Mus musculus: one gene and its partners. The protein of the gene in region 2 interacts with the protein of the main gene of each other region in a biochemical or structural test. Links are inferred from orthologs where the notes say so. Each region holds a gene or a part of one and is shown on either strand. Other genes may lie near its edges. The genes, in order: Cd2, Cd2bp2 and Prpf6.

Region 1 (4,200 bases), on a different chromosome or scaffold from region 2:
GGTTTTAAGTGGCAATCCTACTTAAGCTGCTAAAGCTTTCAAATGCACGCTTGTACTTAACTCATGCAGACACAGTAACCAGCATCCTTCTGTAGATATTTTCCCTGTAAAATGGCTTTCTGAAAGTGACCTGGACTGCTTGAGAGGGTCGATCTTAGATATGCCTTTGTCCCCCACCCCCTTTGGTTTTTCAAGACAGAGTTTCTCTGGGTAACCCTGGCTGTCCTGGAGCTAGCTCTGTAGACCAGGCTGGACCCTAACTCACAGAGATCCAAATGCCTTTGCCTCTCAAGAGCTAAGATTAAAGGCATGGACCAGTACTTTCCGGCTAGATATGACTCCTTAATCTTGGGCTTCTCTCCCCCACAGGAGTCTAGGGACCCTGAACTGTTCTGCCCAATAAGGGAAAGTAAAATCTAGGAACACATAGGACACCGTTACACTCACAACTCATGACACACCTCATTGGATAGTATAGGCCTCATGAACATCCTAGTAGACAAATCTGATATGTTCCGAAATCTGTCAAGCCACAACTCAGTACCACACATGGAAATTCTCATGCTGTGAGACCTTGTTTCCTACATAATACTATTTAAAATTAGTCTTGAATAGTGTGTATGACGTGTATATATAATGCATGGATGAATGTTGTGTTTACATTTAGGTCCCATCTCCAAGAACACACACACACACACACACACACACACACACACATTTTGAAATCTTCCAAAAGCCCCAATCCTAAACACTTCTAATCTCAAACTCATTAAGTAAGTGATACACAACCTGCACTGGGTAATCAGGCTTGGGGTGGGTCAGAGGACAATTTTCCAATGCTGCGTAATATATAGTCGTATATAGTGGGGACAGGTCCTCAAGTTGAGTCAGCGTATTGTGTGACCTTGGCATTTGCATACAGTAGTGAAGCCACCGCTGTTAGTCGGAGGGTATGGGTTTCCTTTGAGGGGGGTAGGGAAAATGTTGCCTATGGTGGTAACCGCGTAACTCTGTGACTATGCAGAAAGCTGTTGAACTGCGCACGGCAAACGGGCAAACTGTGTGGTATGTGAATTGTATACCAATGAGCTTGTTTGGGATATCACCATCCTTGTCAAGGGAAGGCCTGACCTTGTTCCTGTCTAACAGTGAGAACACGGCCACTTCTGGCCAGGCCCGTTTCCTTATAGGTGGATAGAAGCTTGTAATTTAAAGTTCTCAGGATTGCCAAAGAAAACCAGGCTACCTAACAAGCACCTGACTTCTCTCCAGTAGCCATGGTCACCGCAGTGACAGAGTACATGAATAGGCTATACAGGGTTCGATACGATGAGTGGTCGTTCTCATTCCCACCCCGTTTCTGGGACATTCTCTCTAGATAAAGTTACAGGATTTGGGTCTGGGAAGAGTTGTGCACAGAGGAGCTAACAGGGGGCCCTGGAGAGAGGTTGGTGTTAGGCCCAGGTGCTGAGTATTGGACAGGAAGGACACCCACGGGGGGATGAGGGGAGCCCTTTCTATAGTGACATTTCCTGTGTGAAGCTCAGAATGTTTGTGTGCTCCCTGAATGGCTGATCTATTCTGCACAAGGCATTCTCAGCTTTCTCCGCAAGCCAAGGGCAGGCTTTCTCCTCTCACCCATTGGTGTGAGCTGCCAGTTTGTCCCTGGACTTTCAGCTTCGACAGCATCCCAGGCTTCGTTTTCTTCTTTCTCACCCACCCAAGCTTCTTCACTTCCTCCTCACCCCCACACCCGGCATGTTTGCACCCTTCCTCATCTCCCTGGCACCCTTTACTCCAGGCCAATGACTATCAATGACAACTCTTCTCACTAGAAGCTCTTGGAACGCTATAGATCCCACTGGCACACATACTCCATGCTGCCAGGAGCCTGGGCATGAGTCACTTCTTACAGCTCACTTGCTGGTTCTCACCAAGACTAAGACCACCTGCTTGGCTTCGCTTGGATGACAGGAGAGGACTCCTGGTTGGTCTTCTCCTGTTGCTCTTCAGTATCATGCCCTCTCATCATACCCTGGCTTAAACATAGCTCTCCAGACAAGAGGCTCACTGCTCCTAGGCACCCTCTGACATCCTGTCTAGCTACAGCTTCATCGGCCACCAAGGATGTCCATGTCTTTTCTCTGCTAACCTGTCTTCTTTCTGATTAATGCCTGTCTGTCACCTGGGAGTCTTTGTACAACCCCACAGCCACCCAAAGAGAGAATGAAAGGCAGACAGGCTTTAGAGCCACCCTCACCCACTGGAGTCTTCATTGTGGGCCACACAGGTAACATTGGATGGGGATGCTACAGAAAGGCTGCTCCCCAACTTTCTACATAGCAGCCGTCCTAAAATGAAAACCTTTAGGGAATGGAGACTTACCCAGAATCCTCACGTCCAGGTCCTTCTCCAGCCTAGTCATCCCATTTGTGCCATACACCATTACATTATAGGTGCCACTGTCGTTTCTCATCATCGGCTTCTTTATCTTCAGGGATCCGTTTGCTAAGACCTCATACGTTTCTGATATCAAAAAAGGTGGCTTCTTCCTTTTAAACTCTGCGACCAGGGTGCCCCTCCTTACCCATCGCACCTCATCAATATCATCAGTCATTTGAAAGTTGGGGATGTTCAGGGTGATGCCATGACCCAAGACACCCCAGATGGTCTCATTGTCTCTGCAGTCCGCCCCTGTAAAAAAGTAAGATGGTTTCTGAGGTCTCGGGACTACGGAGGATCTCCCTCTTCGCCTCTAATGTCCACTCCAAGGTCTCCGGAAGAGCTCCACGCGAATGCTTACCTTTGCCGGAAAGGCTGAAGAGCAGAAAGAAGCTACCCAGGAATTTACATTTCATCTTTAGAGTTCTTTTCCCAGGGGTGACTCTGAGTTCTTTCTGTCAGGACTGTGGTGAGGCTGGCAGAAGCCACACCCAGCAACCTGAACCACGTGTCTTTCATGCCTGCTGTTCACAGTAGGGGAGGGGGAGGGGGAGAGGGAGAGGTAGAGATGGGGAAGGAGAGAGAGAGAGACAGAGACCCTATCAAAACGACTCATGCATTTGCTGCCCTCCTTAACCGAAATAGGTGTCTGTGTCACATTTTAATCTTTACAAAAACAGCTTAGGGTGTTGGGTTTTAGCACCCCACCAGAGGAAGAAGAGGAACTGGGAGGTCAGTTGCCATAGCTACCCTTTTGTAAACAAGGGCTTAAACATAGCTGGCCACTCAGCTGTGCTGCCTTCAACAGGACCAAGTAGACTCACCGGCAAAAGGTCATAGGAATAGAATTCAGATATGTATATTTGGGAAGGATTGGGAGGCGTGGCCTTGTTGGAGGTGCGTCACTGAGGGTAGGCTTAGAAATCTTTAAAGCCCTTGTGGTCCTGTTAGCTCTCTCTCTCTCTCTCTCTCTCTCTTCCCTCTCCCCTTCCCCACTCTGTCTATCTGTCTGTCTCCTGCTGTGGATAGGAATGTAAAACCCCCCCAGCTACTGCTCCAGCGCTATGCTTCATGCCTGCTGCCATACTCCCGGCCATGCTGGCCATGGACCTGTAAGAGCACAGTAGATTCTTCCTTCTCTAAGTTGCCTTGGTCATGATGGTTTGTCACAGCCATTGAAAAGTGACTGCAACACCCATGAACGCCATGCCTGAAGAGGCCAGAGGAGTCCATCGATCTCCTGGAATTTAAGTTACAGATGGTTGTGAGCTGCCTCGTGGGTGCTGGGAATAAAACCTGGGTCTTCCGGAAGAGCAGCCTGAGCTCTTAAGTACCAAGATATCTCTCTTGTCCTAAGACTATAAAAAAATAGTGAACAGGGATACAAGGACTAATGTCCCTAAAAAGACAACAGAGAGGTCACGTGAGCAAGAGATACAGTGAACATATAGTCTTTTGATTCTTTAGAATTCAGTGAGAAAAGGTCTTCAAAATCACGGTTTTTCCATTTCAGATGCTTAACAACAGCCACAACAGTGCATTTCAGTTGAGTTAAAATATTAATTCCAAGGGGGGAAAAATCCAAGTGAAATAAGACTTAACAGGAAACATAAAAGAATTCCTATTCTTGAGTATGGAAAATCTTCCTATATGTATTGCACAATTCAGAAATAGTAAAGATGGACGTTAGAGGCCACATAAAAATCTAGAATCTATGCATGTACAAAGAGCTATTAAATGTGTGAGAAGTCAAGCCAA
Region 2 (4,256 bases):
CAAACATAGTGGTCCAGCTCCTTCCTCCTCAGCTTTGCCTGGATTCTGCTGCTCCCACTCTCACTGGCCTCCTGGGATCCTCTGCACAGCTTGCAGGACTGGGATCGCCTTTCCAATGGCTTCAGCCCCCTGGAAGCTGAAGGAGGGGCCTGAGAGTGTGTGCAAAACCACCATCTTTAGATTGGGCTGGGTTCTTGGTCAGCAGCTTGGTGCAGTTCCCTGGGCGTCTAGGGTAGACTAACTGCCTGGGGTTCATCCCAGCAGGTACACACAACCAAACTGCGCAGCTCTTGTTTTCTGTGGCTAGATCTTTGCCACACACCCTCTACTCCGGGTCAGGATGATAAAGGTGTGGGCTTCTGTGGCCGTAAAGCTCCACTTGGCACTTCTCAGCAGAAAGGGGATCAGGGTGTGTGGTCTCCAGGTAGAGAAAACCCCCTCCGGATGAACCAGCAGTGCTGAGAGCTGCTTTCTTCAGGGTCCTGTCTGTAGCAAGATGCCCTCCTGGTCTAGAACTTGTGTTCTGTACCCACAGAAGTGAAGTTTCATGATTCACAATGGGAGAAAACCCTGGAGGAGAAAGGCGTGGTCCATCTGGCTGCCCTCTTCCAACTCTAGTAGGATCACCGGAGCTATTTAGCCGAGGGTGGGGACGGGGGTGGAGGCGTTGAGGTTTGAGTTGTTCCCCAGAGCTCCAGATCTAAACCTCACTATTGGGGAAGATCTCACCTGGCCCCAGCTTTGCAGGAGCTGGATCCCAGCCCTTTGGCAGTTTGCTAAGGGATGAGGTAGGCTTCGTGTAACTGATGGGCTTCTGCCTGGTTACAGGCCACGGACGGAAGCCAGTGGCACCTCCTGTGATGGTTGTCCCGCTACAGAAACTAGGAATTAAGTGGGAGAATAGACATGGTGCAAATGACTCCTGGGTTCTAAAAGGGCTTGGTTTGGAAGGTGCCCGAGCGCTTATAATCAGAAGCAGGACTCAGAGAGAAGAGCAAGACTTTCTTTAAAAATAGACGGTCTCATGTTGTATCCCAGACTGTCGTCAATCTCGCGACAATCAATCCTGTTTCAATTTCCCGAGTGTTGGGACTGCGTTAAGATCGGAAGCCCGGGTGTCTACTGAAGGCCACTAGGCGTACAGAACCCTATCCATACATGCAAACGGAAGCCCGAAGCCTCTGTTCGGCCTGTGCCTCTCCATCCAGGCCTTGGGAACCTCTTAGCACACCACGTCCTTATCCTCACTGTAGCCTCCATCGTAGAGGAATAATAAAACATTTCCCGCCATCCTCAAGTCCCGTGAGGCAAGGACGTAGTTCACGCGAGTCTTTGCAGGTCTTGCGTCACTTCCTGCCGCGAGTCGGCCTTGGCTAATGGTATGCATCCGCCCTTTTTGAATAGAAGTGAAGCCACTTCCGGGTCCTATGCCGGTCTCCACGGTTTTTTTCCGGGTGATGAAGGCGGGTGCCCCGGATGTAATACCGGCGAAAGCATCTTTCCTTTTCTTCCCCGCCTGACCCTGGGTTCCTAGGTGAGCACCGGCGGGTAAGATTGTTTGAATCCCCGCGGGTTTGCTTCGCCTTTAGTTTGTACGCCAAGGACATGGCCGAGCAGGTCGCTACGTGGTATTCGGGGATCTAGGCAGCTCCAGCTCTTGGGTCCGACCGGCCTCTGTGAGCACTCGGGTGGGAGAGGTGGTTGAGTTCGGTAGCTCCGGACTGGTAGGGGAGTGGTGACGTAGGGGAACCTGACTCCCCATCCCCGGGTGGGAATACCCGCAGGGTCCACGCGGGGGCGGAGATCCTTCCCATCGCCTCTCCTCCGGGCCTCAGAATTGCCCAACCAACCCCGGACGTCGTGCCTGCTAGTTCTCTCAGATGCTTTAGCGATCTGTCCTCGCTCACATTTACCAGGAAAAATGTTGGTGGCCCCTGCACTCCCCCGCGGTCCTCTCTCCTTACCTCACTTCCTCACTACATATCTTTTTCCGAGGTCCAGCTGGAGGAAATCCACAGCCAATCATGCCAAAGAGGAAAGTGACTTTTCAGGGTGTTGGAGATGAGGATGGTGAAGATGAAATCAGTGTGCCCAAAAAGAAGGTGAGATGGCCAGATTTCGAATTTCCGTGGAGGACTGAGAGGAAAGAAGAAGGAGAAATCTGATGGGAGGAAAGCCGGGAAGCCAAGGAAGTGTTAGTTTTCCCCGGCGCACTGGGTTTGGAAAGATTTGTGTACAGATCCTGGAGTATCTGGGGAACTACCCAGTTGGCTGCATTTCTCATTTGCTTCGGCCTCCTCACAGCTGGTGGACCCTGTGGCTGCAGCAGGTGGTCCTGGGAGCCGCTTCAAAGGCAAGCACTCTTTAGACAGTGATGAAGAGGATGATGATGAGGAAGGGTCCAGCAAATATGATATCCTGGCCTCAGAGGATGTAGAAGGTGAGCTATGTCCGAAGCGTTAACTGAGTTGGGGGGACAAGCCTTCAGGATGGAGGTGGGAGGTGTGCCTGCTTCCCTTTTGCGTGTCTAGCATGCCCCACCCCCAATGTCTTCGGTGCAGGTCAGGAAGCAGCTACTCTCCCTAGTGAGGGCGGTGTGAGGATCACACCCTTCAACCTGCAGGAAGAGATGGAGGAAGGCCACTTTGATGCTGATGGCAACTACTTCCTGAACCAGGATGCGCAGATCCGAGACAGCTGGCTGGACAACATTGACTGGGTGTGGCCCAGGGACTATTCTGGCTGAGGCCTGGGAGTGCAGGTGCAGGGCCTGGGCCCTGGTGGAAGTTTGTAAGAAATTCTAATTATCTTTTCCTTGTAGGTGAGGATCAAGGAACGGCCCCCTGATAAGCACCAGGTTTCAGACTCGGAGGAGGAAGACAGCCTGGGTCAGACTCCAATGAGCGCCCAAGCACTCCTGGAGGGACTTTTGGAGTTGTTGTTGCCAAGAGAGACAGTGGCTGGGGCCCTTAGGCGGCTGGGGGCCCGAGGAGGAGGCAAAGGGAGCAACAGCAAGGGGACTGGACGGCCCAATTCCCCCCAGCGGCTAGACCGGCTGTCTGGGTTAGCTGACCAAATGGTGGCACGAGGCAACCTTGGTGTGTACCAGGAAACAAGGGAACGGTTGGCTATGCGACTGAAGGGTTTGGGGTGTCGGGCCCAGGGATCCCATGACCCCACACCTCCACCCTCCCTGGACATGTTTGCTGAGGAAGTAGCAGAGGGTGAACTGGAAACCCCAACCCCTACCCAAAGAGAGGGTAAGTTTGGAGGGCACGGGTGGGGGGCAGTGTGGGCTGGAGACTGAGTGCTTGAGGCCCAAGTATCGTTCATTGTGTTAGAGGCAGAGTCAGCAGGAGATGGCCTGATGGATGTGATGTGGGAGTATAAATGGGAGAACACGGGGGACGCCGAGCTGTATGGACCCTTCACCAGTGCCCAGATGCAGGTGAGCTGCCCCCTGCCGCGTCTGTCCCATCTGTCCAGCCCACCTTCTGTCAGCTTGCCTGAGTTCTGTCCTCTGTTCTTACAGACGTGGGTGAGTGAAGGTTACTTCCCGGATGGTGTTTATTGTCGGAAGCTGGACCCTCCGGGCGGCCAGTTCTACAACTCCAAGCGCATTGATTTTGAGCTGTACACGTGAGCCCGCTAAGGGCCCCATGCGGCACGGCAGCCCCTTCTTTCTTGAACTTGGCAGAGGAAGCCCCAGCTGCTCTGGGCAGTGAGGATATTGGAGGCCACTTTAAAGCCATTGTTTCCCAATAAAAGCCTTGACTGTGCGATGGCCAAGAGCCAGGGCTTCTCCATAGCTCCTTTTGGCTTCACCTGGTAGGTCCCTGAGCGTTTCTTCCCGAGAGACTTCCTCACTTGCTTCTCTCTGGTGTCTTGGACCACCTCAGTTTTTTTTCCCACCCTTGGAGGCAGAGGTAGGGCCCATCAGATGTCCTGTGACTTTCCTACGTAGACAACTTCTACTTGCTGTGTAAAATTCCCTCCATCACTCTTTTCTCCAGTCTCCCTTGCAAGTCCCTGTTCTGCTGATCTTTGACTTTTAGGACCTCAAATGCTCTGTCCTGGCAGCTCCCTTGTAGCTGGGACATTGGGAAGACCTTGAAATCCTATTGAGAGATTCTCTTAAACATGCATTCTCTTCTTCCATAGTCTGATTTTTCTACCCCTCGCCCCCCTGCAGTAGCTTCTGTAGCTTTTAGGTGAAGTATAAACTTGGTAGCACTTCAAGGTTGCTTGAGCCACCA
Region 3 (2,989 bases), on a different chromosome or scaffold from region 2:
AATAACCTGCTGTAATCCATTGTCCTGGAGTACAGAAATGATTATCCATGGTTCATATGAACTGCAATGTCATCAAGTGATTTATCACCTTCCAGCACAGGACTGTGCCACTGGTGGAGACAGAGCCTTAGACCAATTTGGTTTTAAGTGGCATTGAGTGTTCAGATTCTGGTGCAACTACCTTCACATTGCTACCTGGCACCTCTGTAGTGTCTGTAGCCCTAGCAGATGGCCAAGGTTTTAGGTCCCAGCCTTGCTAGCTTAGGCTTCCCTTTCCCAGAGTAACTTCTGTATGCCCTCAGCCAGAGCAGCCATAAACCTTACAAAGAGCTTTATTAAAGTAAATAAGTCACTCCTTGCTGTTCCCAAGCCAGTGTTCCATGTGCCTCCTATCTTGAGTTTATGTTCTTTAAATTACAGTTTATCTAACACTGGGCAATTAAGAGTACTATATGGCTTAAAAAACAATCAAGTTATCAGCATGAAATTACTCCACTTGGTCCTGAAAGCAGCCCACACAGCTGCCTGCAGTGGAAAGGTTAGCTGTGCACCAGCTGCCTCACCAAGACCAGGTGAATACAGTCCCAAGTCCTGGCCCTGCCAGAGTGATCCCCACAGCATTCCATGCCACCCTCCCTGTTGTACACCCTGCTATACTACAGTAACTATGTGGGGGTGGGGGGTGCCATGCGACCCTAAGTTGGTTTCTTTTATGTTGTTGTTTTATTTTTCTGGGACAGGGTTTCTCTATGTAGACCGACAGGCCTTGAACTCAGAGATCCACCTGCCTTTGCTTCCTGGGTGCTGGGATTAAAGACCTGCACCATGCCTCACTTCTAAGTTAGTCTCTAACAGTCCAGTTCTTGGCTTCCTGCCAGACTTCCCTTCGGATTTCTATTCAAGTGTCTGTGTCAGGTACAACAATCATGTGCTATGGTCTGGGTGTCCCAGGTCCCCAGAACTGACATGTGGAAGCTGATCTTTGTGTTTGCTTAGGTTGCTACGAGGGGTAGACAAGGGAGGTTAATAGTGTAGGGTTGGTATCTTATTAAGGAGCAGTCTGAGTTTTCAGGTCTTGTTTTTTTTGTGTTTTAAATCTGCTTCAAGGGAGGTTAATAGTGTAGGGTTGGTATCTTATTAAGGAGCAGTCTGAGTTTTCAGGTTTTGTTTTTTAAATCTGCCTTAATTAATGTTTGTCAAGGTTAGTTTCAAATTTCATTTGGCCCAGATAGTTTTAAGAAGTTAAGATCTAGCCTGGTGGAGGTGATAGTGCATGCCTTTAACCCCAGCACTCAGGAAGCAGAGACAGGCAGATCTCTGTGACTTCCAGACCAGCCTGGTCTACAGTATGAATCCCAGGACAGCCAAGATGGTTACATAGAGAAACCCTATCTTGAAAAAAATAAAAAAAAAATAAAAAGGAGAAATTAAGATCTCACTGTGTATAAATATTCTAAAAAACACTGTGGATCAGTGAAGGATCTGGAATGACCTCCAGGGAGCCCTGAACCATGACTCAGACCTTTTCTATAACATATTTCTAGGATTGTTGGTCTTACCAGGAGCAGGGTACAGCTGATCACCTACGTAGAATGACTCCCAAGCATGGTAGACACTATTCTATGTCCCTTGCTCTCCCACAACAGGTTGTTCTGGAGTGAAAGAAAGATCACCAAGGCTCGGGAGTGGTTCCATCGCACTGTGAAGATTGACTCAGATCTGGGGGATGCCTGGGCCTTCTTCTACAAATTTGAACTGCAGCATGGAACTGAGGTGAGGCTACACTAGCACACTGGTGTGCAGTGGTAATCTGCCTGCTTCCCTAGCTATTCCTGAGACAGTAGAAAGCTCCATCTAATCCCTGGGGAAGGAGAGGCAGGAAGTGGCCAAGACTAGGAGCTCCTCCCCTGTTGAGCTTTGTTGGAACCATGCTTATAAGGCAGGGGGACCAGGGTGTCCTGGGGTCCTCGTTAGAAGTAGTGGCTAGACCACATTGAATCCAGGAAGTACCTAGTTCAGAGAGTGCATCTGGCAACTTGCGGGAATCAAAAAATAGGGAGTCTGACACGATTCAACACAGAGATGCACTGACTATGAGGGCATGTTCCACAAGAGAAGGAGATGGCTTAAAATCTGCTGGGGCCAGATCTACAAGGAGACAGGCAAGACCTGTACCTCACAAGACGTAAACCTCACAAGGAACCCACCTAAAGCACCCTTTCGTCTCCCCAGGAGCAACAGGAGGAGGTGAGGAAACGCTGTGAGAATGCAGAGCCCCGACATGGAGAGCTGTGGTGTGCTGTGTCCAAGGATATCACCAACTGGCAGAGGAAGATTGGGGAAATCCTAGTCCTGGTGGCCGCCCGCATCAAAAATACCTTCTGATAGGAGGGGTGACAATAGGAGCAACACATGGACAATGGGCACAAACCCTACACTGTCTTTTACTCATTAAAGGTTTTTATAGAGTTATGTTGGGGCTTGGGCCTCACTTGTTTTTCTGTTTTGTCCTTAGCGTCTATTCCCCATGAATGATGGTCAAGTCTAGTCTGGTTTGGATGGAGCCTCCTACAAGTGCTTATGTGCTCCAGATAAAAGCATAGCTGGGTATTGAGGGCTTGCTGAGATTTTTGTGGAGATGTTAAGAGTACAGGCTATATGGAAAATACAGGCTCTGTCACAGATCTGTGATACAAGAGACTGAAAGTCACATGGGGACCAAGCTATAAAAGATTGAAAGGCTTGTAGAAGTCTCCATTGTTCCGTAGCCACCTGAGGCAGGCACCTTTGCTTAACTTGGAAGGTGTGAGCTCACTCTTCTGCAGTCAAGGACAGGAGCAGAACCTGCTGATTGATTGATTGATTGATGCTTAGCAGGCTACTTGTGTGCTGATTTGGGGAAGTACTTCTTGCTTCTGTCCCGAGGAGTATCTTAAGAGAGCTGCATGGGCATTTCTATGGAGATATCCATGGGGTTTCCTTTGATGAG

Evidence for each region.
Region 1: the proteins of Cd2bp2 (region 2) and Cd2 interact in a biophysical measurement, tested with the Homo sapiens proteins (6 studies listed by BioGRID and IntAct, with this or other methods). The link is inferred for Mus musculus from reciprocal best matches to the Homo sapiens genes CD2BP2 and CD2.
Region 3: the proteins of Cd2bp2 (region 2) and Prpf6 form a complex in vitro, tested with the Homo sapiens proteins (2 studies listed by BioGRID and IntAct). The link is inferred for Mus musculus from reciprocal best matches to the Homo sapiens genes CD2BP2 and PRPF6.

The regions. Positions count from the first base shown.
Region 1 is NC_000069.6:101,285,022-101,289,221, forward strand, and holds the start of Cd2 (T-cell surface antigen CD2 precursor), read right to left. Parts: upstream 2,919-4,200; 5' UTR 2,859-2,918; coding exon 2,804-2,858; intron 2,695-2,803; coding exon 2,386-2,694; intron 1-2,385. UniProt on the Homo sapiens protein: CD2 interacts with lymphocyte function-associated antigen CD58 (LFA-3) and CD48/BCM1 to mediate adhesion between T-cells and other cell types. CD2 is implicated in the triggering of T-cells, the cytoplasmic domain is implicated in the signaling function.
Region 2 is NC_000073.6:127,193,207-127,197,462, reverse strand, and holds the start of Cd2bp2 (CD2 antigen cytoplasmic tail-binding protein 2), read left to right. Parts: upstream 1-1,385; 5' UTR 1,386-1,534; exon of another isoform or gene 1,535-2,001; 5' UTR 2,002-2,024; coding exon 2,025-2,102; intron 2,103-2,304; coding exon 2,305-2,440; intron 2,441-2,561; coding exon 2,562-2,719; intron 2,720-2,821; coding exon 2,822-3,260; intron 3,261-3,341; coding exon 3,342-3,448; intron 3,449-3,532; coding exon 3,533-3,643; 3' UTR 3,644-4,256. UniProt on the Homo sapiens protein: Involved in pre-mRNA splicing as component of the U5 snRNP complex that is involved in spliceosome assembly.
Region 3 is NC_000068.7:181,653,190-181,656,178, forward strand, and holds the end of Prpf6 (pre-mRNA-processing factor 6), read left to right. Parts: intron 1-1,646; coding exon 1,647-1,773; intron 1,774-2,232; coding exon 2,233-2,385; 3' UTR 2,386-2,472; downstream 2,473-2,989. UniProt on the Homo sapiens protein: Involved in pre-mRNA splicing as component of the U4/U6-U5 tri-snRNP complex, one of the building blocks of the spliceosome.